7 linked regions of the Neurospora crassa OR74A genome follow. The protein of the gene in region 2 interacts with the protein of the main gene of each other region in a pairwise test. Links are inferred from orthologs where the notes say so. Each region holds a gene or a part of one and is shown on either strand. Other genes may lie near its edges. The genes, in order: NCU06110, NCU01249, NCU08359, NCU02998, thr-4, fbp-1 and NCU09813.

The links.
Region 1: the proteins of NCU01249 (region 2) and NCU06110 interact in a two-hybrid assay, tested with the Saccharomyces cerevisiae proteins (2 studies listed by BioGRID). The link is inferred for Neurospora crassa OR74A from reciprocal best matches to the Saccharomyces cerevisiae genes SRP1 and THI4.
Region 3: the proteins of NCU01249 (region 2) and NCU08359 interact in a two-hybrid assay, tested with the Saccharomyces cerevisiae proteins (2 studies listed by BioGRID). The link is inferred for Neurospora crassa OR74A from reciprocal best matches to the Saccharomyces cerevisiae genes SRP1 and CDD1.
Region 4: the proteins of NCU01249 (region 2) and NCU02998 interact in a two-hybrid assay, tested with the Saccharomyces cerevisiae proteins (2 studies listed by BioGRID). The link is inferred for Neurospora crassa OR74A from reciprocal best matches to the Saccharomyces cerevisiae genes SRP1 and BNA6.
Region 5: the proteins of NCU01249 (region 2) and thr-4 interact in a two-hybrid assay, tested with the Saccharomyces cerevisiae proteins (2 studies listed by BioGRID). The link is inferred for Neurospora crassa OR74A from reciprocal best matches to the Saccharomyces cerevisiae genes SRP1 and THR1.
Region 6: the proteins of NCU01249 (region 2) and fbp-1 interact in a two-hybrid assay, tested with the Saccharomyces cerevisiae proteins (2 studies listed by BioGRID). The link is inferred for Neurospora crassa OR74A from reciprocal best matches to the Saccharomyces cerevisiae genes SRP1 and FBP1.
Region 7: the proteins of NCU01249 (region 2) and NCU09813 interact in a two-hybrid assay, tested with the Saccharomyces cerevisiae proteins (2 studies listed by BioGRID). The link is inferred for Neurospora crassa OR74A from reciprocal best matches to the Saccharomyces cerevisiae genes SRP1 and SMT3.

The regions. Positions count from the first base shown.
Region 1 is NC_026507.1:1,764,339-1,768,376, forward strand, and holds NCU06110 (thiazole biosynthetic enzyme), read right to left. Parts: upstream 2,801-4,038; 5' UTR 2,202-2,800; exon of another isoform or gene 2,120-2,201; 5' UTR 2,101-2,119; exon of another isoform or gene 1,772-2,100; 5' UTR 1,750-1,771; coding exon 813-1,749; intron 748-812; coding exon 650-747; 3' UTR 123-649; downstream 1-122.
Region 2 is NC_026505.1:3,366,333-3,370,560, reverse strand, and holds the start of NCU01249 (importin alpha subunit), read right to left. Parts: upstream 2,801-4,228; 5' UTR 2,455-2,800; coding exon 2,221-2,454; intron 1,957-2,220; coding exon 1,447-1,956; intron 1,396-1,446; coding exon 493-1,395; 3' UTR 1-492. Other genes in the region: NCU01248 (hypothetical protein), read left to right, coding at 3,778-4,228. UniProt on the Saccharomyces cerevisiae protein: Functions in nuclear protein import as an adapter protein for importin beta nuclear receptors. Binds specifically and directly to substrates containing either a simple or bipartite NLS motif. Promotes docking of import substrates to the nuclear envelope.
Region 3 is NC_026501.1:5,632,317-5,635,679, forward strand, and holds NCU08359 (cytidine deaminase), read right to left. Parts: upstream 1,890-3,363; 5' UTR 1,574-1,889; coding exon 1,161-1,573; intron 956-1,160; coding exon 874-955; intron 776-873; coding exon 722-775; 3' UTR 501-721; downstream 1-500. Other genes in the region: NCU08360 (hypothetical protein), read left to right, coding at 1-209; NCU08358 (hypothetical protein), read right to left, coding at 2,990-3,363. UniProt on the Saccharomyces cerevisiae protein: This enzyme scavenges exogenous and endogenous cytidine and 2'-deoxycytidine for UMP synthesis.
Region 4 is NC_026501.1:8,474,443-8,477,931, reverse strand, and holds NCU02998 (nicotinate-nucleotide pyrophosphorylase), read right to left. Parts: upstream 2,142-3,489; 5' UTR 2,066-2,141; intron 1,779-2,065; 5' UTR 1,715-1,778; coding exon 749-1,714; coding exon of another isoform or gene 736-748; 3' UTR 501-735; downstream 1-500. Other genes in the region: NCU02997 (polysaccharide deacetylase), read left to right, coding at 1-241. UniProt on the Saccharomyces cerevisiae protein: Involved in the catabolism of quinolinic acid (QA).
Region 5 is NC_026505.1:5,469,577-5,473,501, forward strand, and holds thr-4 (homoserine kinase), read right to left. Parts: upstream 2,768-3,925; 5' UTR 2,542-2,767; coding exon 2,106-2,541; intron 2,050-2,105; coding exon 1,751-2,049; intron 1,682-1,750; coding exon 1,340-1,681; 3' UTR 501-1,339; downstream 1-500. Other genes in the region: NCU04278 (hypothetical protein), read right to left, coding at 3,811-3,925. UniProt on the Saccharomyces cerevisiae protein: Commits homoserine to the threonine biosynthesis pathway by catalyzing its O-phosphorylation.
Region 6 is NC_026506.1:853,930-857,671, forward strand, and holds fbp-1 (fructose-1,6-bisphosphatase), read right to left. Parts: upstream 2,405-3,742; 5' UTR 1,894-2,404; coding exon 1,763-1,893; intron 1,669-1,762; coding exon 884-1,668; intron 790-883; coding exon 653-789; 3' UTR 501-652; downstream 1-500.
Region 7 is NC_026501.1:4,134,519-4,137,900, forward strand, and holds NCU09813 (SMT3, variant 2), read right to left. Parts: upstream 1,918-3,382; 5' UTR 1,731-1,917; exon of another isoform or gene 1,513-1,730; 5' UTR 1,476-1,512; coding exon 1,236-1,475; intron 1,104-1,235; coding exon 1,044-1,103; 3' UTR 501-1,043; downstream 1-500. Other genes in the region: NCU16378 (DUF1903 domain-containing protein), read left to right, coding at 2,686-2,688, 2,784-2,831, 2,912-2,924, 2,995-3,167. UniProt on the Saccharomyces cerevisiae protein: Not known; suppressor of MIF2 mutations.

The sequences.
Region 1 (4,038 bases), on a different chromosome or scaffold from region 2:
AAGGAGGACTGGGATCGGAGTCGTGGAGCAGGAGTTTATTGGTCGGTCGGCAATGTCTTCTTTCTGTTCCTTTCTTTTTTCCGCTGCAGGCGACTCAAAAAGGGAGAGATACCAAACGATGGGACTTACGTACCAGTTTATCAACCTTACTACTACTATGTTATGTCTTCTTGCATTCCCTCGATATCTTGTCGCTTTTCCCAGGCCTGTACTTGTGTTGCTTGACCTTGTCATGCACTGTTGAAGCTCTCTTGTCCACGACGCGACATCGCAGCCGTCAAGCTGAGCAGAAGGATGACCGTTGATGATTTGGGGTCCGGCAGGACATTGTTACATTTTCAATGCCATATCCTCTCCACCGCCCCAGAGGTCACTTCTGCGCGACTTGCAAAAGCAAAGGTTTATTTGTTCCTGCTTCACGGGATTTTCGGACATAAAAGATGACAAGATGACTTAAGAGGTGCGTCAAGACGATTTTGGACTTTAAACGGCTATCTTAAGCATAAAGAGACCAACAGAAGGGACTGTACGTTCAAGAATTCATTGGATCCAAATGGACACGAACAAAGTTTAAACTCAAAAGATTCAACAAATTGCATGCATAAATCCTCCCCCATTTTAGTTACTACTTCCAACGTCTTGAACAGGCTTAGCACTTGTCGTTCTGAGCCTTGCGGAGGTCGAAGACGCGAATGGCCTCGTGGGCAGCCTTGACACCGCTGAGAGCCATGGCTCCGAAGGTAGGTCCTGTGGTTGGCCAGGGTTAGCATATGCAACTCAGATCAACTGAAGTAGGGGATAGTTCAACATACCCATGCGGTTGGCACCGTCAATCTCCGACAACTCCATACCGCCAACGATCAGACCCGGGACGATCTCGCGAGTGTTGTTGACAATAGCATCCTCGGCGGATTGCATATCGAGCCCGCGCATGCCGTTCAGGCGCTCCATCTGCTTCATGCTGACCAAACGCTTGACGGAGAAGGCACCAAAAGGACCATCGTGGCCCGTGGTGCTGATGATAACTGGGGCGTTGATGGTGTTGGGGTCCATGCAGCTCTGATCATCGTGATGCATTGACACGAGGGTCCAGTTGGTCACCACACCGGCAATCCTCACCTTGGCCTCGTCCTCGGCCTCGCCATCATCCGATGACGACGAAGACTCGGCGTGGTGCTTCCTGGTGATCAAGTCCTCGACGGTCGTGGCATTGAACAGCTTGACGTTGGGCCTCTGCAAGACCTTGCTCAGCACAGTCGAAGTGAACAGAGCGGCATGCTTGACCACCACGTAGTCACCCTCATCTTCATACGGCACGCCAACCTCGTCCAGGAAGACGTCGGCAGGCTTGCGCATCACCATGGCACTGAAGAGCTGTCCGCCCAACCAAGCGCCACCTCCCGGGGCGACGCCTGCTTCGACGATAGTGATGCGCAGGTCGGGCCGCAGGGTGGACAAGACGTAGGCGGCCGAGAGACCGCAAGAGCCGGCACCGACAATGACAATGTCGGTCTCGGCGTGGGCGTCCAGGTCAGCGAAGTAGCGGCGGGTCATGGCGCGCGAAACGGTAGATTCGCGAATGGGGGAAAAGGTGAAGGCGTCAGTGCCGAGGGTGGGCATGAGCTCCAGAAGAGGCTTGGACAAGCCCCTGGCATCACGCTCGACGGGAGCATCGTTCCTGCCTACGGCCTTGAGACCGACGTTGACAAGAGTGGGGACGCTCTGCGGCTCGAGAACAGAGGGAGACATGGTGATGATGGATCAGAGTTATCTGGGAATGTTAGAATGACTGTACGGGAGAAGGGGGGAGCGGGGGAGGAAAGTTGAAGCATGATCCTTTCGCTGGTATTATCCAGATCAAGTTCGTCGCCGTATATTCTCAGCCTGTACTTCTCCCCTGGGTACAGGTGCTAGAAGCGACCTAATACCCAGGACAGAAGTTGGCACCGGCTCATGCATTCAGATAGTTACCTCTGAAAGTATGTTTGAACGTGATCGAATCATGGTATAATCAACCAGCCGATGGGGAGTTCATGGCTTCAGCTCCTCCTGGAACGATGGTTTGTGGCCATCTTGGTGGAGGAGGTGGGTGGTCTGTACCCTGGTGTTGAGAGTCTGTCTGCTTGCTTGAGGGTGTTAGTATATCAACACCATGGGGGAGAGGAGACAGATGAAGCCCGAACAAGCTTGGTGATACTTGCGTGTTGGTATTTATTGCTGGTAGTCCTTGGAACGAAGACAGAGGTTGTTCGTTGATTCTGACGATGGGAAGAAGATGGGAAAGAATGGAAGAGAAGAGGCAGACTTTGTGTAGGGGAGCTGTTGCCCTTTTTATCGTTACTTGAGGCAAGTAAGGTAAGCGAGGTGGGTGCACATGTACCTACGCGACTCCCCTCCTACTCCCGGTTCAGTTCGAGCTGCATCCCGTCCCCTCTCCCCCTCGCTTGCATCCTTTTGCCCCTCTTGCCCCTCTTTCTTTTCCAACACTGCATCGTACACACTGACGGGAAGTATGCGGTTATCTGAACATGCCACACCTTCCATCATCCCATGCATCCTCACCACGAATGGTTATTTCGCCTTCCTGTTCCCCTCCTTTGCCCAAGTTTCACGGCATCGGCGATCCTCCGATCATGACCCAATGTCAGCCCGAGACTATCAAATCGTTTTCAGTTGTCGAAGCTATCAATATAGTTACCCCTCTTCATCTTGTCCGTGTCCAACATTAGAGGTTCGCTTGTTATCTCGATCCTCGACAGTGCGCGGCTTACAGACATCAATGCGTGGGCCGAACACCCCACTCTTCGGTGTCGGATGGACTCGCTGATGGCGTGAACATGAGGAAAGCAAAAATGAATGAACCGGCTAACTACGCTCAGCTACGGTACAACAGCAATTGAGGTCGCAATTTCAAGCAAGAGCTGCAGCTCGCTAATGATAGCGTTGGATGGGTGGTAGCACCGTTAACGCGGGACAAAGTCCGACACCTTGCCGACGCCGAGAACATTAACGGCCCGAACGTTCCCTTCCCCTTCTTGGCTACTACCCGTACTACGCCCCCACTTTTTTGGACCTCGTAGAACTCGCACCCCCTAAAGTGGGTGCTCACGGGTAATACGGCCACACCAGTAAAACGGCCACGTACATCTTGAACCTCAATATATTATAACGATTTTGAGTTTCCTATAATCCTCTCTCTTTATACTACCACAACGTCGTATCGCATTAGGGATAATCGCTGTCAATATGGAGGCACGTTTGCAACGAGCGGTCGCTTTTTATTACGATAATCCCGACGTCCCCGTCACCCATTTGTGCAAGACATTTGAAGTCCCCCGCAAGCAACTCTACAATTACATTAAAGGGATCCCAACTAAGAAGGGTACGCCCGTACTATACAAGTAAAAGCTTACTCTAGTTAATAAGAAGGTTCTATATAACTATATCGACCGTTTCGATAGAATTAACCTCGCTGTACGACCGTTGTATATTAAGGATATTGCAGATCTACTACTTCGAAGTAAGGCTCCTAAATCGGCCGACTCTAACAACGAAGAAATACCCCGCATTAGTATTAATTGGGCAATACGGTTTATTAAGCGCTACGAATATTCTAAAGTTAGGCAAAAGAAAATAGATAGTACCCAGAAAGATAATAAGGATATAAATAAGGTAAGTCCGTTATATTAATATTATTTATATAGGTAACGATTAATAAATAGTATAATAAGTAATAGTATACTTCGAGAAGCTCTATTAAATTATTTTATTAGAAGGCTTTATACCGTCGGATATATAGAATATAAATAAGACTAGTTTCTGTATTGGTATAGGTAAAGACTAGCTTGTTATTATAAAGCGGAAGCGAACCTACTACTTTGCTATCCCCGAGAATTGTAAATTAGTAATGTGTATTGAAGCTATTGCTGCTAATAGAGAGTACTGCCTGGGCTTTATTATCCTTACCGGTCAACTTCATATAGCCAATTAGTATCGGGTTAAAGAATTGGACCTACGAATACAGATTGCTACTGTATC
Region 2 (4,228 bases):
CATCGGCCCCGAGGCTCCCGCTCCCTTCTCCTTGGCTTGATCACTGCGCGTCCGAACATGGCTATAGGGTTGGAGCTTTCAAGCTACCATTCAGACCCTTTGATTTACTCTCCCTTCATCATAAAACGCATCATCGTGTCCTCATCAGGTTCGAGCTTTCGCACCAAAGGACCAATCGGCCTCCATGTGCGTCTACTTATCCTCGCCTTTCTCTTTTAAACATAACTTTGATAACGCCAATTCAAGGGGTATGGTGTGGTGAATAAGCGTGAGGGGGCACTATGAGATTGAAGCAATATAGTTCTGCCGTGTTGTGACTTGTGTTTGGGCGAATGAACTCGTATGGGGGAGCCGAAAGGCTGATGGGGTAAGATGTTTATGGTAGGATTTCCCAGATGGTGCCGTGATCAACATCACATCTGGGTCCCCTCATCCCAATCTTTAACCCAACCATCCCCTTCGTAAAAAGAACTAGACGGATTGTACAGCATTTTACATGTCCATCGACTCGGTGCCGTTAGCACCGAAGTTGAAGCCACCCTGCTGGGCACCACCGGAAGCACCGAATCCAAACTGCTGCTGAGCGCCCATGGCCTCATCACCGGCCTCGTCCTCGTCGGAGAAGTACTTTTCAATGATGTTGTACGCCTTCATGTAGATCTCCTCGTTGGCGTTCGTCTGGCAGTCGTGAATCTTCTCCATTCCTCCGCATTCCTCGATAAATAGGGCATAACGGTTGATCGAGTCAGGGCCATCGCCAGCGGCGTTCTTGTCGAGCTCGCCAACCTTGAGAATATTCTCAAGACCATCCAGGGCAACCTGGATAATCTTGTTGTCAGGGCAAGCCAGAAGGTCGCAGAGCGGCTTGATGCAGCCTTGAGCAACCAAGTATCTGATCTGATCGGGCTTCTGGAGACCACCCGAAGTCGCGTTGCTGATAGCCCAGCAGGCCTCCTTACGAGTCTTGAGGTCGGCATGGGAGAGAAGGTGGATCAAAGGAGGGATGATGTTGGCGTCAATGACAGATTGGATCTGAGCCGAGTTTCCAGCAGTAATGTTGCTGATGGTCCAGCAAGCCTCCTTGCGGATGCCATCCTTGTTGGAGCTCAGAAGCGACAGGAGGCAGGGAAGGGCACCGCAGTTAATGATAACCTGGGTCTGAACATCGTCTCCCGTCACAATGTTGCCAACGGATCGAAGCGCGGGCGTCTGGACAGAGGTGGAAGCATGCATGAGGAGCTCAACAAGACGCCTGGGAATGCCAGCCTCAATAACCGCCTGGATTTTGTCGTTGGATCCATCCGAGAGGTAGGAGATGGCCCAGCAAGCGTCAATAAGAACCTCGTCGTCGAGCGAGTAGACGAGCTTGGCGAGAACTGGCAAAGCAGGGGCGATCTATGATGGATCAGTAGACATACTAGATTGTTCGTGATCGAGAGAACTAACCGTGTTCCAGTCGGGCTGAGGAGTCTTGCCACGGCAGAAGTTACTAAGAGTCCAGGTAGCATTCCTGAGCATGCTAAGTTTGCGGCTATCACCAAGGAGGGTCAACAAAGGACGCAGAGCACCGCAGCTTAGAACGTAATCACGGCATTGAGGGCTATCGCCAGCAATATTGCCGAGAGCCCAAACAGCCTGTTCACGCACATCAGGCTCGGGGCTTCCGAGAAGCTCGACGAAGATGGGAACAGCACCAGCTTCGATGACAACCTGGGTTTGAGTGGCAGAGCCCGAAGCAATGTTGGTAAGGGCCCAAGCGGCCTCGAACTGGACCAGGGTGTGGGGGGAGCGGAGGAACTCGACGAAGCGACCAACGACGCCGGTCTTGATAACCTCCTCAATGGGAGGGTTGCGCTCCTTGCTGAGCAGCTTTCTGAACTTAGTGGTCGCCTGAATTTGCTTATCGATCTCACTGGAGAAGACACCCTCGACCATCTTGGGAAGGTCCTCGCTCAACTATGACAACTGGGTTAGCATGTGGAGATCAACTATAACAAAGATCGGGGACGTGACGGAATGTGGGGTGGTTTTCGTTTGTACAATGTTCGAGTTTGCGCGCGCAGCTTGAATGCAGGTTCGGCACTGCCTGGGGGTTTGTGGCTCAAGCATCACCATCATCGGCGGGGTACACGTGGGGGAGAGAAGGGAGAGGCGATGGACGGACGCAGTAGCAAAATTGTGGCCGATCATGTAAGGGGAGTAAGATAGAGGTTTGCATACCTGAGACTCGGTGGGAGGGTTCTCATCGTCACTGTCGGGGGCGGCACCAAGGGAAGCTCCAGGCCGCGAGTCGCCAGCACCAATACCGCGCCTCTTGGCCAAGTTCTCCTCGCGCTTCGCCTTGCGAATTTCGACCTGCTGTTCCTCACGACGGCGACGAAGCTCATCGGGCTTGAAAGCACTCTTGGCCTTGAACTGGGTGCGACGATGCTCGGGAATGTATCGGTCAGCCATGGTTGCGACGCGATGTCGAGACGACGGTGTCTAGACGGATGGGTGATGGAGGTGTGATATGAAGGCGGCAAACGAGGGGCGATGCAATCGATGAAGCCCCGGCGACGAAGTTGCTGCGAGCCGTTCAAAGGGAGGTATATGCGATCAAGAAAAGCCGGAGAATTGGAAGAGCCCGGTTGATACGGTCCTGCCAAAGCAATCCTGAATGGGACGGAGAAAAGTATGGGTGCGTTGTCGGCGAGACGGAAAACGTCAGAGAAGGATTGGGTTTTGGGGATGGATGGGGCAGGCGAGTTGTGTGTTTTTTGAGGAGCGACGATGAAAGAATTTGGGAGTTCGCCCGCGCCTCGAGCAGAAAGCGGAAACAAGAATGCGGCGGCGGCTTGTCCCCTCCTCTACCAGCACTTTCCACCTCCACGAAAGTGAAGTCCAAGTGCAGGCAGTCACTGTGCCCTGCCTGCCACTCAGTCACAGCTGCCCCTCAGGCCTGAAGGTGGCCCAGTCACTGCCCACAGCGCCCAATGCTGGCACCAACTGTAGCGAAAAGAGTTTGGCTTCTGAAAGTGGGGATGGAAGAGCCAAGCTCGAGCACAGGCCACATGAGCAGCTTTGTAACTTGTCCGCTGTTCTTGGAGTGCAGGAACTTGTCCACCATTGGGTGGCCCCACCTCAGAGCGGCTGGACCCTCCAGGCATTCTTCTCATTCCTTCCATTTTGCTTGTGAACGTCATGGATTGTTTGCAGGTTACACACTGCCCGTCATAACTTCATCGACCTCAGGCCGCGTCCGTCGAGCCGCAAGCTTTTCGTTTCCCTGAATGACTACGACATGTTTCAGTTACTTGAAAGAACGACGTCAAAAGGCCGCTCTCAACCTCCCACCGTCTGAGCTAGGTAGATACGTCTTTGCTACCTCCAGGCTTTAGGTTGTGTTGGGAGGCTGGCCTGCAAGGTCCTGTTCGGGAGTCCCCGACCCCTCATGACTATACTGGGTAGGTAAGAGAAAGCACAGACCATGCGTCTAACCATTACCGTAGCCCTGCAAGGCTTGCTGAAAGCACAGCGCTTCAAGTCTGATGGTCTGGCCCGACGGGCGGCCAAGACCCTTGCCCTGCACATGCGGTCGCGCAAACTTGGCGATTGGGCAGGTGCCATTTCCGCTTTCAAGACGCGTAAAGTGAACGCGTAATGTACGACGTATAACACTGAAGTCCCCAAGTTGCCCTACAACGGTTGGTAAGTATCACGACCAACCGCTGGTGGTGTTTCATCCACATACTCATCCGCCGCCATGTAATCGGAACGGAGAGTTGGGATATCCAGATGATGCGCCCGCTCAGAGACAGGAAACCGGCGGCCAAGGCAAAGCCACCACTTTTTCCGTCAACGCTCACACCCCTACGAGCCATTCTCGACGATGACGGTGATGCCCAGCCCGGGTCCATGGTCAATGTCATTGGTGTTCTTAAGGACTGCCGAGCACCCGTCGCGACACACGGATCGGACTGGAAGTGCACCCTGACCATATCTGACCTGTCCATTGAAGATGAATCGGCCGGAGTTGAGCTCGTCATCTTCCGCCCCGAGGCACGGATGCCCGAAGTCGGCGCCGGAGACGTGCTTGTTGTTCTAAGCGCAAAAGTTCAGAGGTTCAAGTCCAACCCAAAGTCTCTCATCACCAGCAAGATCACCACCGTTTGCGTTTACAAGGCAGCGACAATACCCGTCTATCCCGCTTCAGCACAGGTAGCACTCTTGCCCCCAAAGCAAGGTG
Region 3 (3,363 bases), on a different chromosome or scaffold from region 2:
GGCGGACCGGCATGTTTCCATACACGGCGACGGAGAAAGACTGCGTGGACTCGGCGGAGTGCACGATTTGTCTGGAGGAGTTTGAGCCTGGGGTGGCCATGGCTAGGTTGGAGTGTTTGTGCAGGTTTCACAGAGCGTGTATAAGTGCGTGGTGGGAGAGACACCCGGGCAGGTGTCCTATGCATCAACATGATGGGTTTGGATATTGAAGGGCATTAGGGTAAAGGGCGAAATGAGTCTGATTATTGGGGTATGGTGGTGCTGTCTGGAGTCATGTTTCTTTTTTTTGTGGGATCTTTTCCTGGGTCCATTCATTGCATGTTGTCTCTCTCTCTCTTTCATCGCATGGCGGTTGTCTTGTTGGGGTTGACAAATCATTAAGATAGTACGGACGTGATTCTTAATTGGGCAAGTTCCTGACTTAAGTAGCTTACTCTAGGCTGGAAGGACCACACAGCGAAACTGCGTGTCGGATAGAAGTAATGTACGTCAGGCACTGGGGTTGATACTATTTGTGTTGATCAGGTTTTGGGGCTCATTATGCCATGATTCTCTTCAAAACTGCGCGATAAAGAATACATGGGGCTTTGCCCCTATGTTTACATGACCCTGACTCCCTGAACTGTCCGCTCCGCTCCGTTCCTGACACCCAAGTTGATCAAGTGGTACATAATTGTGAGACCCTTCTGTGTCTTTCCCTGAGACCATCATATGGAAACAGTTAAGCAGCGCCCTCAATACCCATCTGATCAGGGCCAAACGACAATGGGAGAAGCTAGATATATAAAAAAAATGTCAGGAAACCCCTTTTTGAACTCTCACGAGACGCCAAAGGTCGAAGGACAAGCAAGAACGAAAAAGGTAATAACTCACATCTTCAAGCCGCAAAACACTGAAATTCTCATCTTTATCAAACATGAGAATAGGCATGCTCAATTCGCAAAACTCGCGGATACTATAACGCATCAATTTGCAAAAGCCCGGTCAGTCAGCAAAGCATATCTATCTATCTTCCACCTTTTCTCTTTCAAACAGAAAGAAAGAAAGAAAGAAAAAAAAATAAACAAACAAAAAAAAAAAAAAAAAAAAAAAGGAAAAGAAAAAGAGGAAACACCGAAAAGGGCGTAGCTAGCTGTAGCATGGATATCAGGGGAACTCACAACTGCCTACACATGCCACAAGGACTAGCAGGCGGGCTGATATCCGTCGCCACTGCCACCGCCTTGAACCCGCGGTGTCCCTCGGTAATCGCCCTACCGAAGGCCACCCGCTCCGCGCACGTGGTCACGGGGTAGCTGGCGTTCTCCACGTTGGCTCCCGGCGTGTATGTTCCCTCTGATGATGATGATGATGATGATCTCTCTCCCGTGACGGCGGCGTTGACCTTGCCGGTGGACAGCAAAACGGCGCCGACACGGAACTTGCTGTAGGGACTGTACGAGGTGGCCTTGGCGGCTACGGCGCGGTCGCGCAGCTGGGCGAATTCGGAGGGGGTTAGGTTGTAGGTTTGGCAGGTTTGGGCGATGACGGTTTCAGAGTGGCCGTTGAGGATGGGTGGTGTTGGGGGCGCCATGGTGTGGTTGTTTTGGTGATGGTGGTGGTGATGGTGGTGGTGAATGTGACCCAAGTGTAGTGGTTATGGGGTTGGGGATGCCTTCTGTTTTGTGTGTGAAGAAGAATGGCTGGATGGTGGAAGATGCTGATCAATGAGAATTTGAGGAGAGAAAGAGCACTTTGTGTGTTGTAGTCGTCACCAAGTCGGTACAGGTAGGCATAAATTGTGTCTCGAGTTGAAGACTGGAAAAGTGTATCGTACAAACTCGCCTTTCATCCCTCCTCCCCTTTCCGTCCAGATTCTCCCGGGTCTTTCATTGTTTAGTACCTCGGGCCGTTCCCCAGACCATTGTTTAGCCTACCCAGGGGTGATTTCGGCCAAAAGACAGCGCATCCGACCGACTACCAGCGAGTAGGTGGTGACAACGGGGCGTGCCGACCAGCGGTCCCCGGAGAGCGGAGAAAGAGCGGAAGCTAGCAGGACGGCTACCCCGCCACCCCGCCCTATTCGTTATCTTATCTCTTAGACCTTCTTGCTTTGCCCTGCAAGCCCCTGTAACATCGGCGGTCCCTTGCCTATTGTGGGAACTGACTTATCTCTCAACTCAAAACCGCGGGTCATGAGGTCACTATCAAGAAAAGAGTCGGTCACCATTTCGGCATACCGCTTCCGGTGTATAGTTGAATATGTCCAGGTCAAAGAATGGGCAACCAGTCATTACTCTGTAACAGGACGTGGCATATGTCTTTTTTCATGCATTTTTAGATTTTTACAAAAAATCGCCGGTTAAAGACGAATGTTTTGAAAATCAAGATTGGGGACAGAATGGACGATTGGTTGTACTTCCGATATCGAGGTTATCCGAGATGTTGATATCGAGATAGAATACCGACACCGGATGTAGTCTTAATCTTAGCCTCTTTGTCAACTCGAGACCTCTGGTCAAGTTCCCTAGGCCTTTCATCCTATTAATACGTGTCGTTCCATATTCAAGAGCTGAACTATCTTGGCTTGCTTAAATATCCCAACTGCAGATATGTGATGTCAAAATTTATGTGTGCGTTTCCGATCAAATTCTTAAGCATATCCCATCCATACCTAATGACCTCAATGTGTCCTCATGATGTTTGAGGCAATATGGGACTAAGTTGCGATCAACAAACTGGCATTAGATTGTGCAGACCGGTTCTTTCACTGACGACAACTGCAAGTTTGCAAGTGTCTGGTCCAGACATAAAGCGTCAAATCTCCAACAATATATCTATTTTTTCAGTATATCAATACGGTGAGTCTGGCTTCTTTTAAACCTCTCAAGGGATGTATGTTCCCCAGGCGCAGTACTTTTCTATTCCCAAATTCCAATATCCCACGGATTTCGTCCAGTTTTTCGTCCGTTCGTTACCATAAATCCATCCCTTCCACCCCCATAACCTTTTATTTTGCAAAAACGATATCCTTCAACTTCTCCTTCTCACCACTCTCTTCACACATCCCCCTAAACACTCCACTCCCACCATCCTTTTCCCACAGCTCCCTCGGCGTTCCAAACTCGGCAACCTTGCCATCGCTCAGCACCAAAATGCGATCAAAATCAGCAATCGTGCTCAAACGGTGAGCAATAACGAGCAGCGTTGCATCAGTGAACTCCTCGCGAATAGACCGCTGGATCAACGCATCCGTGTGCATATCCACCGCCGAGGTGGCCTCGTCCAGGACCATAACTCTCGGCCTCGAAACGATGGCGCGCGCAAGGCAGAGGAGCTGGCGCTGGCCCTGAGACAAGTTGAGACCGCCTTCGGAGATCTGGG
Region 4 (3,489 bases), on a different chromosome or scaffold from region 2:
GGTGAGGAAATTGGGGTATCGCTTGGTTTTGGGGAGCATATATCCACATGATGCCCAGATTGGGTATGCCTGGCTGAATGCGAGGCATATCCTCAGTATGCTGAGCCCCGGGGGAATCATTATTTGTCATGATCGGAGGAGCTGGACACCGCCCATGTTGAGGAAGGTGTTGCCGGAGATGCAGAGGAGGGGCTACAAAGCTGTGACGGTGTCGCAGCTTTTGGAGGAGGCGACGGGGTGAACATATCGTCGATTGAGGATTATTAGAATTACTAGACTATATTGCTTGTCGGCGTTAGGGAAAAGGGGCGGCGAAATCGATTTGGGTGGGAATAATTATCACTGAAGCGCAACCCGCAGTGAACCATGGTATAGCATTTTGCGGCCATCTCACTAGGAGTGTCAAAAACAAGACTCGAAGATTATTCAACGTGGCACAACATGGGATGGCTGGATTGGAACCAAAATAACCATCTATGTGCTGGAATTTGGAGAACATAATGCACCAGGTTTGGCATTGATCACGGATACGTCAGTCCATAACACTTTTGTACCATTTTGGTGGCGCTCATCTCCTGTTGTTGTGCAACTCCAGTTCCTCCAAGTTCGTATCACTCACAATGGTTGAATTGGCCTATTACAGCCAGCTCATCGAAGCCGGGTAATACTGCATGCTTGAATTGTAACGTATCATACCAATGTGTCGTGCACTCAAAATTTCATTATATGAATCCATTAGCTCGAAATTTCAGGGCCGGTGCCCTTCTCGACATTGATCTTGAGCGAAAAGTCGACGTGCGGCACGCCCTGGTGAATGGAGCTTGTCGAAAGGATATCGATATCTAATGTGCTTGTCAGCGACAATTCTACTGGAGATGATTGATCCGGCACACTTACCGTGGCAAATGTAGGACTCGGCGTTGTCGGCAGTCAAACCACCGGAAACCTCAAGCAAGAACTGCTTCTTGCCAGCCCACCTTTCCTTCAGGCTGCGAGCAGCGACCCTGACGCCCTCACCAGTGAAGTTGTCCAGCATAATAATGTCGGCACCGGCAGCAATCGCCTCATCAGCTTCCTCCTCACTCTGCACCTCAACCTCGATCTTGAGGCTGAAGCCGCCGGCCGCCTTGGCCGCCTTGACAGCCTCAGTAATGCTGCCGCGGCTCCACACGTGGTTGTCCTTGAGCATGGTCATGGTGCTGAGATCCATGCGGTGGGTGTCGGCTCCTCCGACGAGCATGCCGTACTTCTCGACAAGACGGAATCCGGGCGTGGTCTTCCTAGTACCCGCCACAATCCCCTTGTAGCCGGCACTCCGCAGGTTCACCAGCAGGTGCCGGCTCTGCGTAGCCACGCCGGAGCAGCGGGCCAGGATGTTGAGGGCCACACGCTCGCCCTCGAGCAGGCCGCGGGCGGGACCGGTCACGGTCGCCAGCGCCCTCTTTCCGCCGTGGGTCTCGACGTGGCAGCCCTCGGTCGCGTGCCACTCGACGGTGCAGCCGCACTGCTTGAACACCTCGTTGAAAAAGGGCACGCCGGCCAAGATTCCCTGCGACTTCCCCCAGAGAGTGGCAGTGCGCGGCGCGTCGCCGACAACGAAACCGCCGACGTCGAACGAAGGAGTGTCCTCAGCAAGCCAGGCTGTTATTTGGGACTTCCACGAAACAGGGAGGATGTGCTCGAGGGAGCCGTGGTCGAGGGCCATGTCAATCATGATGGGCGATTTTTCTCAATTTTGATTTTTTTTCCTTTTATTTTGGTTGCGTCGAGTCCTGGATCTGCAATTGGTGAGTGCTTGTTTGTTTTGGGGGGATATGTTTTGATTTGATGGCTGCAAAAGCTATCTTGATAGAGGCAGTCTAGGTTCTTAGTCACACTTATGAGAGGCCACTCATAGGTTGCGGGATGAGATGAGCGGAAGACACGCCGGGTCAGCTCCGACAATACCCGCTGAAGGTCTCGATGAGCCGGGATAGGTCCAAGCAGACGGTTCGGCAGGGTTTGGAAAAGAGAGGGGCGGTGCGAAGACACTTCTGGGCCAATGTGGGATTTGCAGTGCACTTACAGATGTCGCGATGTATTTGAAGTCGTCGCCGATTGTAAACACTTGAGACGATGACGTTGAATGTCCCCAGAAAGCCCGGGTCCGCTGCCGGGCCGCGCAATTTCGGGGAGCGGGGGAGCGACAGACTGGGATTTCGGGGCTTCTGAGGGGAAGAAGGGGTTGCCTTGTTAACCCTAACCTGTTAGCGCGGTTCTTCCATTCATCAGGCATCACAGCCTCAAAGTCTGACAACGCTAGACGTCTATTTAAACAACACCAGAGTATTATGATACCGTCCCTTTGAAAAAATATATATATATATTCATATATATATCGTGTCCTGCACTCTCGTTGGCATTTTGCCCCCCTTAATAATACGTGTCCTTGATTCCGCAATCGTGCCATGGTTGTCCCGCACTGACAAGCATCAAGGGGACGCAGTTATCGTGCATGCTCGGGTCAGTCGGGGTCTTCCAACATCAATTCTCCTCCTCCGGGACGGGTGAAGGTCATTGTCACATCACACCTCAGGAACAAGTGATCAACACCACGGTCAAGGGATAGCTACTCGGAACTCCGGACCTTGGTTTGCTTTGTGGTCCACGATTGCGCTCTATATGCGGTCTTGACATCTGATGTCTCGAGTGCGCATACTCGGCCGTCACCATTGACCTGCCACTTTTCAGCTTCACTCGACTCAGGCCAAGACCAAGCGACTTTGACACATGAAAAGCCTCAACACCCAGAAAAACTTTTAGTGATACCGAGAACGATGAGACGAGTGCCGTGACCGCCTTGCTGTCATCTGGCTTCGACGCCTTCTCTGTCAGCCAGCTTCTTCATTCTTCATACCGAAGACTTCCTGTCTTGCTCAGGATGACCCGCTTCCTAATTTATCGGCCTCCTTTATCCTGAATAACCTGGCTCATACCATTGGCCCGGCGTTGTATACACCCTCATCTTTCAATATATTCTTCCAAGTGTCTTCGATCGACCCTGTGACACAGCCAATCAGCCAACCCCAGATTCTTTCCCCGGAGCCTGCGACGCCGTGTAGATGCCATTTCTCTAGGATGATACATGTCGCTTACAGCTGGTCAGCCATAGAGGAGTGTGTTCATCTATCTACATAACCCAATCGGCTCGGTGGTTCTTTGACTGACACCTTAGTCCTCACCTTCCATGTAGCTCCTCCACCACTGATTCCTGGAATTGGAAGCTTCGTTAATCCCTACTTTCCATCCACCTCCTTCGTTTAATCTATCTCAACATCCTTAATGCCACTCTAGTCTCATCAAATCTCCGTTGGACCGCTTGCGGTGGCTACGCATTGAGCTTTTGCCATGGCTGCCCGATGACACGAGAACAGAATTTCTTTCCCGAAATATTACGTGCCATGGAAGTTTGTTATCCAGTTGGAGGAATCCGGATGTTTAGCTTGGAAA
Region 5 (3,925 bases), about 2.1 Mb from region 2:
GTCTCGGCTGGTCGTGGTGTGATCGGGGGAGTCCGACTTGCCTTCGTCGAGCTGTGATTGGGTGATTTATCAAAAAGAGAGTGGGGCGCAGCTGAAAGATGGCGTTGTCTGGATGTTTTGGATGGGAACAATGCCAAGCGAGTGGGCAGCAGGGGTAGTGATTGGTGCGGTTGGGTTATGAAGGAATGGTTCTGGAATGGAAGTGCCTGGCTTGCCTGGATTCAGTTGTGTGTTGCTGATCCGACGCGACGCTGTTTTCTGTTCCTGGGTTTGGGTTTGGGTTGAACTTGGGGAAAAGGCGGAACTGTTTTTTCAGCTGACCAGCGCTGACAGGCGGGAATTCTCCATACTGACAGGAATAACTTGTCTCCCGGCGTCTGGATGTTTGTTTGTTTTTCCCGGATGGCGCCGGGCGGGCGGTCCCTACCTAGTACCTAGTACCTAACCATGGGAATGGGAAATGACGAAAACCTAACCCAGATTGTCTCCAGGGGACGGTTGCGAGTTTTCCCGAAATAAGTACGACGGATTGCAAAATTGGCGGATACATACACTTTCCGCGCTTGATGCCGTTTGGCATCTGACAGCGGGCACAAGCTGCCATCTTCCGGCCCGGGCCTGGCTGGGATCCGAGTCGCGATGCCATGTACGTACCAAGAAACTTTGATCCGAGTTCAAATTCCAGCACTTGAACTTGCACAACTTGTGAGACTTAGACCGCCGGAAAACTACGGAATGAAGCCATCGTGAAATTTCTCGGTTCTTCCCGGATCGAGCGGAGCCCCGCAACGCGGCAATGGACAGACCACATCCGGTCCCCGAAGCGGAGCCCGTCCAATACCCGCCGAGCCGCCATGTCGTCGGGGGGGCTCCACACGTCAGCCGATCGCGAACCCGTTAAGTGCGGGACACGGATGCACCCGGAAGACAAACGCAGATGGAGCCGCGTAAGGATACGGCGTGGCTTTTGCGCCTTGAAACTTGAACGAGTCTGGAGGCGGGAGTTAGTTATCCCTTCTTTTGAAATGGTGGGCGGCCCCGGGGGGGCTTGCCAGAAACAGAGAAACATAATATCGGTAGAATTCTCGTACGATCATCAGCATCTCGTGACCATTTAATACCAAGAGACCTCGCGGGAAGCTTCGGGATGAGGGATGAGGGGTATCACAAGATTTTCTTCTGTTTTTTTGTTCGTTTTCTCCAGTGTCTAAGCCGGCTCACTGCCCAATCCCGCTTTTGCCAGCCTCTCCTCCACCTCTTTACCACCTGGTTACCCTATCACGGGTTTCACAGGCAACCCCATCCCATCCCATCTCATCTCATCCAATTCTATGGGCATCTAAGCCCTAGTAACCGTAGTCCCATCCGCAGGCTCCAACAGCTCCCAACGGCAGACAATGTTGTTGGACTTGAACTCCTCAATGATCTTCTGGGCAATCGTCTCAAAGTTTTCCGTCGCCAGCGCCAAGATGGTCGGGCCGGCACCGGACAGGCACACGCCCAAAAGACCGGGCTGCGTGGCGGGCGTCATGGACTCGACAATCTTGGTCAGACCGGGAATGAGGACCTGGCGGTACGGCTGGTGCAGCTTGTCCTGCATAGCCAGGTTGATGAGCTCCGGGTCAGGAGGGGATTGGCCGAGGGCGACGGGGAGGAGGGCTATCCTTTGGAGGTTGAAGGTCTAGTTGAAAAAAAAAAGTCAGTGGCTTGATTGGTTGATAGTGAGATAAAAGAAGAAGGAAAGACGTACAACATCCGCACGGGGATACTCGGCGGGAAGAACCTCGCGGGCCTTGGCGGTGGGGACCTCGAACTCGGGAATGATGGCCACGGCCTTGATTTCGGGAGCCCAGGGGAACTTGATGTGGTGGCCGATGCCGTGGGGAGGCGAAGGGGGCTTGACGCCCGTGTCAACACCGCCGGCGGGGGCGGGGAGGACCTCACTGAGGGGAATCTCAGTGCGGGCAGTCTCCTCGGGGGTGAGGGGCTTGAGGTAGGTGCCAACAAAGCCACCGAAGAGGGCGGCGCCGACGTTGTCGGGGTGGCGCTCTGCAATTTTTGTCAGTGTTTGTTGCTCAAGGTGAGTGAGAGTATAAGTGACTCACCAATCATGAGGCAGTAGTCAAAGAGACGCTCGGGAGTGAGGTCGTGCAGACCGCCGACCTCCTTGCCGAGCTGGACACCGGCAACGACAGCGGCGCCGGAAGAACCCAGACCTCTTCCGAGGGGGATGGGGTTCTTGATGTGCACATGAGTCTCGACGGGGAAGCTGCGCTGGTCGTTGCAGCGGAGGACGTAAAGCGCAACACGGGTGATAAGGTTGACCTCGGGATCCAGGCTGATATCCTCCTCGCCCTGGCCCTCGTAGGTGATGCGGCAGTTCAGCGGCTTGTCCGAAGTCGTCTTGGAGCGGTCGATGGTGACATGGAGCTCCAGGTACATGGACAAGGCCAGGCCGATGACGTCGAAGCCGGGGCCAATGTTGGCGCTCGAGCAAGGCGTCTTGATGACGAACTTTTCGATCTGCTGGGAAGACGCCATTGTGTCTGGAGTGAAAGTGGTTTACTACTAGGGGTTGAACCCAGTGGTGATAGTTTCACAGAAAGAAACCAACGGGAGATGGATGAACAGAAGTAAACAATCGGCTTGCCTATGCCAAGAAACACAAATGCTCTCTTTTGTGAGAATGCGTCACCTTCACTGAAATTTTGTTGAATTTCAATTGATTTCCCTTTCTGGAGGTCGGAGGGTGCCCCGATTACGGAGCGGAGCCCGACGGGCAGTGGACAATGACTCTACAGTGGGTGTCCACTTGGCGTTATGGAGCGCTGGGTGCTCCACCTTTTAGGGTTCGATCCACTAGTTTAAACCCCTGACTTGTTTGCTTCTTTTCGTTTCAAGTCAACACAGTCATCAAGGTTCTTCTTCGCTCGAGTCAACATCAATGTTACCATAGTAACGGGGACTCGTACATACATCATTCAACAAGCATTTCGATTGACTACACTAGGTGGGACTATGTGTTTTGACAGCCACTTGTCCTTCGATGAACTTGCTTTGCCTGCGCCAAGATAGAGTGTTCCTGGCGGTATTGAAAGACCTTTAAGGAAAACACAACGCTTGTAATAATATATTTCATATTACGAGTTCATCAATACCAGTGCGATAAGGATTGCTTGCCGTTCTAGCAGTTCACGTTCTAGTCCCAACAGTAAGCTTCGGCGTACAACTTGAAAGGTCCCTCAATGTCCTTTGATCTGACCATTCCTCGAGGTAAATAACATAACCATTTTTCTTACATTACGGTGTTCCTTGAGGCCAACAGTTTCATAGCTTTACAACCAGGCAGAAGACTCCATACTTCGCCCGAATAGAAAGAATCAAGCATGATCTATCAAGGTTGCTTGACACTTACAAGGCTGAAGAACCCTTTTCGGCCGTTGCTGTAGCTACGGTGCCAAGAAGGCCATGTAAACATCAGCAACCGAGCTTTCCGGATGATTGTTTGCACATGGATTTGTTTCTGGTCTTTTAGTCTTTATTTCCTGCTTCCTTCTAAATTTCACAGATCGTGCTGCTACCCAGTACTGGTGGTACGGGTACAGGCCCTCCACAATCTTCTTTAAGGGGAATTTCTTTCATCCCTTTTCAAACACTCGTATCCTGCATCAGCAAGAGTATCGAAAGAGAAATTTTGAACGCGTCTATGTAGCCACCTAGCAGTAAATTATTCTGAATAACCAACACCTTTTCTATGGAGTAATGGCTCACACTCCTGTTTCTCGGTGATCCACGAAGCTGTGCCCTCTGTCAACGTGGCGGTCCTGCCGAAACATTCGACAACGTCCTCCTCAGCCCGGCACCAGTAGCTCTCCTTTTAGGGTTTGGAGTAGTAACAGCCTTATCAGCTGTTTCAGCTGTTTCA
Region 6 (3,742 bases), on a different chromosome or scaffold from region 2:
TCACATGTTGACCGAGCCGGCAGGCCGCTGGTTGTCAACATTTCCGTCTCATATTAACATCAACAAAACATCGCGCGGCGGGAAGCCGTCAACGGTCGATTTATGCACACGCATATATACAAGTGCTGTACAACGTAATTCGTAACGAACCGTTCGGTTCTTGCTCCACCCCCCTTCAGATGATTGCTCGAGTCCGAAAATGCCGTTCGCCATGTGCTGCTTCGAGCGGTCAAAAGGCAGGATGGACGTTTGCTTTCTTCACTCTCGAGATCTAGACCACTCGACAGTACTGCTTACCTGCAAAGTCATTCACATGCGGTGTGGAGGTCATGTCTTTTTTCTTGTTTATCAGATGGAATAAGCTTACAGGTTACAGATGGATGGGATGACAAGAGAGGTTAGTTAAGTACCGCTGGACGCAAGGCAACTGAACAACTCCGGACAACTCATCACTGGCGATGTTCACAAGTTATAAAAAAAAAAAATAAAAAAAAAAAATTATGCAAGGTGATGAACCAAACAACATCTGATCATGCGCATTCATCAACCTAGGTATCGACAATCATGTCAAGCAAAAGCTCAGTCCCTAAATGCAAGCCAATCCCGATATCCAACCCCCCCAGCCCCAACACTTTTGTTGACCGAGCCCAGCTCAAGCCTTGCCGTGGTACTTCTTGACCTTCTCAACCTCATCATATGAACCCATGAAGATACCGGCCTTGTCATGGATGTGCTCCGGTACGACCTCGAGCATGCGGTTCATCTTGCTATCGACAGCTTGACCACCAGCTATCGTTTTAACACAACATATTAGTATCCATCATCATATTCCTATCTGGGCGCTCAAGGGGTGATGTGATGGAAGACGAGTGACAAGACTTACCATTCTCAAAAATCATAGCCATGGGCGCGCACTCGTACAGAATACGCAGCTTGCCCTTGGGGCTCTTCTTGTCTGCCGGGTACGCAAACATACCACCATAGAGCAGCGTTCTGTACGCATCGGCCACCATGGAACCGATGTACCTAGCGCTATAAGGCTTTCCGCTGTCCTCCTGGGTTTCCTTCAGACTGTTAAAGTACGCCTTGACGTCATCCTCCCAGTAGAGCGAGTTACCCTCGTTGACGGAGTAGATGCTCCTCTTCCTGGGGATCGTCATGTTGGGGTGCGTCAAGATGAACTCGCCCACGCCCTGGTCGAGCGTGAAGCCGTTGACGGAGCCGCCCTTCATGGTGATGACCAGCTGGGCCGAGGCGCCGTACATGGTGAAGCCGGCCGCGACGAGCTCGGTGCCGGGCTTGAGAATGTCCTCTTTCGTGCCCGTGCTGTCCTCGGCCAGCTTGTGGATGGCGAAGATGGTGCCGACCGACACACCGGCGTCCAGGTTGGAAGAGCCGTCAATGGGGTCGCAGGCAACGGCGTAGCGCGCGTTCTTGGCGTCCTTGAAGTAGATTACGTGCTCTTCCTCTTCCGAGACGAGTAAAGCGCACTTGCCCGACGAGCGCATGGCTTCGATAAAGAGGTCGTTGGAGATGACGTCGAGCTTCTTTTGCTCGTCGCCCGTGGTGTTGGAGGAGCCGGCGAGACCTGTGAGGTTTACGAGCGTGGCGCGGCGGATGTAGTAGGCGATGGACTTGAAGGAGAATTGGAGGGCATGGCAAAGGAGGCTTTTGGGGTTTCATGTTAGCTGGTAGTTCTCTTTGATTCGGTTGTTTGCGCGGTCAACAGGAAGGGAATTGGTGTAAGTGATGGATAACATACGTAAAGTCTCCAGTGGCCTCCTTGTGCTTTACTTGCTCCTCGGTGAGGAATCTGGTGAGGGTGACAATGTGGGTGTTCACCTTCTCACCGTCGTTCTCGGCGCCAGCTCCGTTTGTTGTGAAAGTCGACATGGTTAATTATGTGTGTAGGATGTGTTTTTGGCGAAATTAGCGAAAATGAAGCTTGCTACACTGAGAGTGAGAACAGGCTGGCTGTTATTTCGTGGCTAGCTAGCTTATGCGCTCTGCAGCTGTGGGATGATGTATGCTTCGTGGTCACGAGGGTTGACGTTGAACAAAGAGCTCGACCTATACGCAACTATGATGTTTGGTCGTCTGGTCGGTGGATTGGTATTGTTCCGGTGAGGAGGATAGCAAATTCAAAACACTGGTTTGGGTATTTGGGTATAAGATAATGGAAGAAGAGGGAGATTGAGAGTGAGAAGAACAGAGAGCCCGAGAAAGAGGAGGAGGAGGAGGAGGAGGAGCAGCAAGATAAGAAGCTTCCCTTTCAGTTCAGGTGGAGTGGCAGAAGACGGGAAGAGACGGTCAGACAAGCCAGGAACACGAAAACATGACAGGGGAATGTTCACAAGCCAAGGGGATCTCCTCCATCAACGTGACAGGTTAGGATCCATTCTCGACGAGGAGTTCCATTTTTATGATGGACTGGCTGAAGTGTTTCTGGCGTATGAGAGGGCCTGGAAGACAACATTCAGGCGACGATCACTGATCGTCCGTCCAGGAGTCAACACAAGCGTAATGTTGCTTTGGATCTCTTCTGGTTAAGGCGTTGAGATGATATCAGGAGGAGCTTTTCCTCCTCTCGAGATGCTACACTACATACAAAGCAACTTCAGTTGTCTGGAAGCTGTCGAGGCAACCTATGGCACAACCCCGGAACCCCGGGTTGCAGAATGGGGGAAAACGGGAGCTATGGGATGGGGCCCCTCATTCGGCCGTCGTCGGTTGAACAAGCGGTTATCGATAATCAGGGACGGGGAGAGCTACCTCTAGGTATGTCCACTCGCTGACTTGTGACATCAGCGACTGTTGGCTGGCCACCCTCCCCCCCCCCCTCGAGCAGTCTGTGGCTTCTTCTTTGCTTGTTTTGCTTTAGGTATTGTGGTTCTTGTGTACTCGTGGCAAAGCCGAATTAGCCGTCTGCTGATTGCCCACATTACTCTTCAATGACCTGTTGCGAGCTGATGTCTGAGGAGTTTGTGATAAGCCGCCGGCCGAAGGGGAACTTTCCCCAACTGTTTGTTTTTGCATATGATATGGATGAAGCCAAGATGACGAAGGGGGAGTGGAGGGGTTGCCTACCTAACGACCGGGGGCGATCCAGAAGCCGTCAGGGGCGGCATGACAGTTAGGCTGGGCGAGATCCGGGGGTGCGGGGCAACTCTGGCAAATGCAACTGAAGTCCCCCAAAGAAGATTTCCCGGGCCGACGGGACTTGCGCATGGCAATGCTTCCCATTTCTGTCGCCAAAGACCTTTTGGTGGTTGTTCTGTTCAATTTGCCAACCATCCGGCAATCGGCTCACGATGCTGAGGATTTGTCAACAAACCCGACAACACCGGCACCCAAATCTGGCAACAAGCCAACGAGAGACGGTCAAGAATCACCAAAGTCCAGAATCTCCATCATCTGACTCGGGGTTTGTACCACAATTACGAATCACTTGATGGCAAACAAAATGAACAACAACACCGCCGGTTGATTACGGAACAGAAACCATGTTGTGGCTTTTCCCTTCCCAAATTTCCCAGTCGTCCTCGTGACCAGCTCCCGGTCTGTGGAATGGAGATCTTTTCGAGCTCAGCTTGGACTTTGGAGACACTTCGGGCGGAGCTTTCCCGTGGTCCGGCAGGCACCTTGACGGCTTACCGGATTCCCTTATCGTACACAGAACCCTAACCCTTCTTGTCCAAGTGACGTCAGGGATGTCATTCAGGAGTCGTCCACCATGTTCACG
Region 7 (3,382 bases), on a different chromosome or scaffold from region 2:
AAAGCATTGTAAGGGTGTTTTTTTTTTTCTTCCTTTTTTTTTTCTTCTGCATAGCATTGGAATCAGGATGTTCAAGTTGCTCTACATTTTCTTTTACTCAATAGTGTTTAGGGGTTCATATGTACGAGTATCGAGATACAAACAATATTATAATAATAACACATCAACACACGAAACTAGGATGTCATGGTGTGGTTATTCGGGGTTGCCTTGGACTTGTCAGCGTAGCCTACCTGATAGGCATTATGGACGTCATGGTTAAATCAGCCTTGGAAGATAAGCAAGGAGTTGACGATATCCCACAGCGCTCGGGAACGACGATCGAAGCTGGGCAAATTGGAGATGATGGTAGAGGAGAGTAAAGGCTCTGTCTACGAATATGTCACTGCAACGGGTTCACTGGCTGAGCGGGGACAGATACAACAATGTGAGTCCTTGAATTCCTAGGATAATAAACACTCGACAGCGCTCGAGAATGTGCATGGCATCATAAACGAGCACTCGCAGTATTGTTACAACATCTGGGACTGGAAAAAAGGGGGGAAGAAAGGGGGCAGAAGGCCATTTGGAAAGATGCCGTGTTTACGCTTCAAACAGAAGATAAGATGCCGGCAAAGCCAGTTGGCGTCCCGTCAAAGTATGGTATAAATAGAATCAAATCAATGTTCCTCGATACCCCTCCGCCCTATGACCCCAATGATAGCACCCTCCGAACTCCGGTTCTCCTAGGCATCACCTATGCGGCGAATAGGAACAAAAGTAGAAAAAGTGCGTGCGTCCAGTGACAATGGCAAAAGCTGTGATGTTCTCCGTAACCCCGTGTCCAATCCTGCTGTCACATTCCGAAACTCCCACCCAGTCCCTGTCCTGTTATAGAATCGGATACCACTCGCGAGCTATCTTCTGGTGATCAAGTCGCCGGTTGTCGTTCCGCTTGCTACTATGCATATGGCCGGTTGTAATTTTGTCTTTTTTGTATTTTTTTTTGTTGCCTTTTTCTTTCTCCCATCTCCTTGTAGTTGTAGTATAGGATCGCCTTTTATCTACCAGCCGCCGACCTGCTCTTGGTGAACTTCCAGGCAATCACCGTCCTGCATCTCGAGCTATATTATGGTAGCAATGGACCTGGTTAGCAAACATATTTCTGGCGTGCTCGGGTGCTTCGTCTACCATGGTGTTCCCGGGCTAGCAGCAACATCAACACAGATGTTAGGTGCATGCCAGACTTCACTTACAGTGTCCGGGGTGTCCGTGGGCTGTACGCGCTGACCCTCGAAGAGGAACCTAACCGAAGCCAGCGTCTTGCCCTGACGCTCGCAGAACGCCGTCATGAGCTTCTCGAGCTTGGTGCTGCGCTTGATCTTGAAAAAGACCTCGTTGTTGTTATCCGTCACCTTGATATTAAGGTGCTCGACGGCGGGGGCGGCGGCATCGGAGCCAGCGTTTCCACTTCCGTTCTCAGCGTTGTCCGCCATGTTGATGACTTGGGAGTTGGAGATGCTAGGCAGAAGTCTAGTCGCAAAGAAATTTCGTCAATGAAAACTGGAAGGGCCGAGTTTGAAGTGTCGATGTTCGGAAATGCTAGAGTTCCAGGCTGCGATGGAAGTCAGAAATTGCGCGCGTGTCAACGCGCCGGAGAGTCTCGTCCTGCCTGTGTTGTCGCACAACGAGATGGAGCAGAAATTGGTGGAGGAACAGCAAAATTCGAGAGGAGAAGCGGATTGTCTTACTGCAGTAGATAGGCGTATTGAAAGACGCTGTGGCAGACTTCTGGTCTTGGGAAGCGTCGAGTCAAGTAGGTCCGTGAGAATTTAGAGAAGTGGAAGGCGAGGTGCACCGGGTCAAGTCGTGCTTTTGAGGTGGAAGCGTGGTTGCGGCGAATGCAGTAAACGACGGCTGGAGGGCGGTTTGTAAGACTGCAGCAGACGCAAAGTTCAGGTGGGGCCAGCCTTGAAACACCAATATTTGTACGAAACCTTGATGCCTCCTCTCAACCTGGCCAACTTTTGTGGTAAGTTGCGCTCCTTAAGGCTCTACTGAAATGCGACACATGCGTATAATACCCGTACCTGGTCCAAAAGGTGAACATGAGACGAAAGGGCCGAGGAAGGCCAATTCGTGAAGGTGTTCATACACCGAATTGCAAGCCCACAGAACTAGGTGCCCAAGTATTTCACTGTCCGCCACTTGGCACTACTTCTAGGTCAACCATTCGAATACCAATCTTTCGCTCATCTTTGCAGACCACCCGACCTTGCGTCGCACAAGCCCTATAGTAATGAACAGTTCCTTGTAGTCCTAGTCCGCGGTTAACTGCCTGTTCCAGCGTTAGGTTGTAGTGAGGCTGGTAGAAGAATGGTACAGATAGGTTGACGCAGTGGTGGTCACCGATAAGTGTTTTCGATCCGGAGAGTTCCTGACATCATCCACCCGTTTTCCTTTACTGATAGGCGCGGCAACTGGACTGGAGAATGGGGTACCGAAGCACCGGGATTGTTTAGGTTGTGGGGATTCCAAACTTGCAGGAGGGAGATCCTCGAGCGTAGAGTCCCACTCGAAGCTCTGGCTTTTACCTTCCATTTAATGAACACCTGAGCAAAGGGTACGTCTAACTGCCAGTTCTTGACTTCTTCGCGATCCAGCTTCCAACCAGACGGAGTTCTCGACCGTTCAAATTTCGATACCATGGTGGGTTTAGGCGCAGTACCAGCTTCAGGTCTCCCCTTACAGAATGTCTCGGCTCTCCCCTGAGGCACTGCTGACCGTTCATGTTGCTTTGTTAGACATTGCAAGACGACCTCGCAGCCAGTCCGCCATGCCATCCACGCGCGGTTTGTTCCATGTTTCCCTTGTTCTTTTGTTACGGCTTGCACGCGTGGTGTGCTGACATGCGGTTCTTTCGTGCCTGCAGTGCGCGATACAAAGTGAGGATGACCAGCTTGACTCCTGTGTCGTTCAGAACTCGCAGTTTGCTGACCTCACTTCACGCCGCAGATTGCCTGACCAGAAACGGATTTGATGAGAGCAAATGCCAGAAACAGATAGACGCACTCTACGAGTGTTGCAACGCGTTTTACGAAAAGAACAGCGAAAGCGCGTCAACAGTTAGCTGCCCCAAAGCGAGCCTGCTACGGCTCAAGATGGAACAGAGAAAGAAGGCTACATGAAGGAAAACAAGAGGAGTCGAAATGTATCACTTGTCCAGATATGTCCACCTAAACGCCCGTGAAGGTGTTAGGTAACTTAAACGGAAAGTGCGGTATTCCTCTGGGCGATCCTTGAGCACGCGAGAGACCTCATGGGCCTGAACAAGAAATGATGGTCTTGTTCCGAGACTCTAATAGGAATGCCGTGGACATTGTAAGGAAAAAAAAAAGAAGAA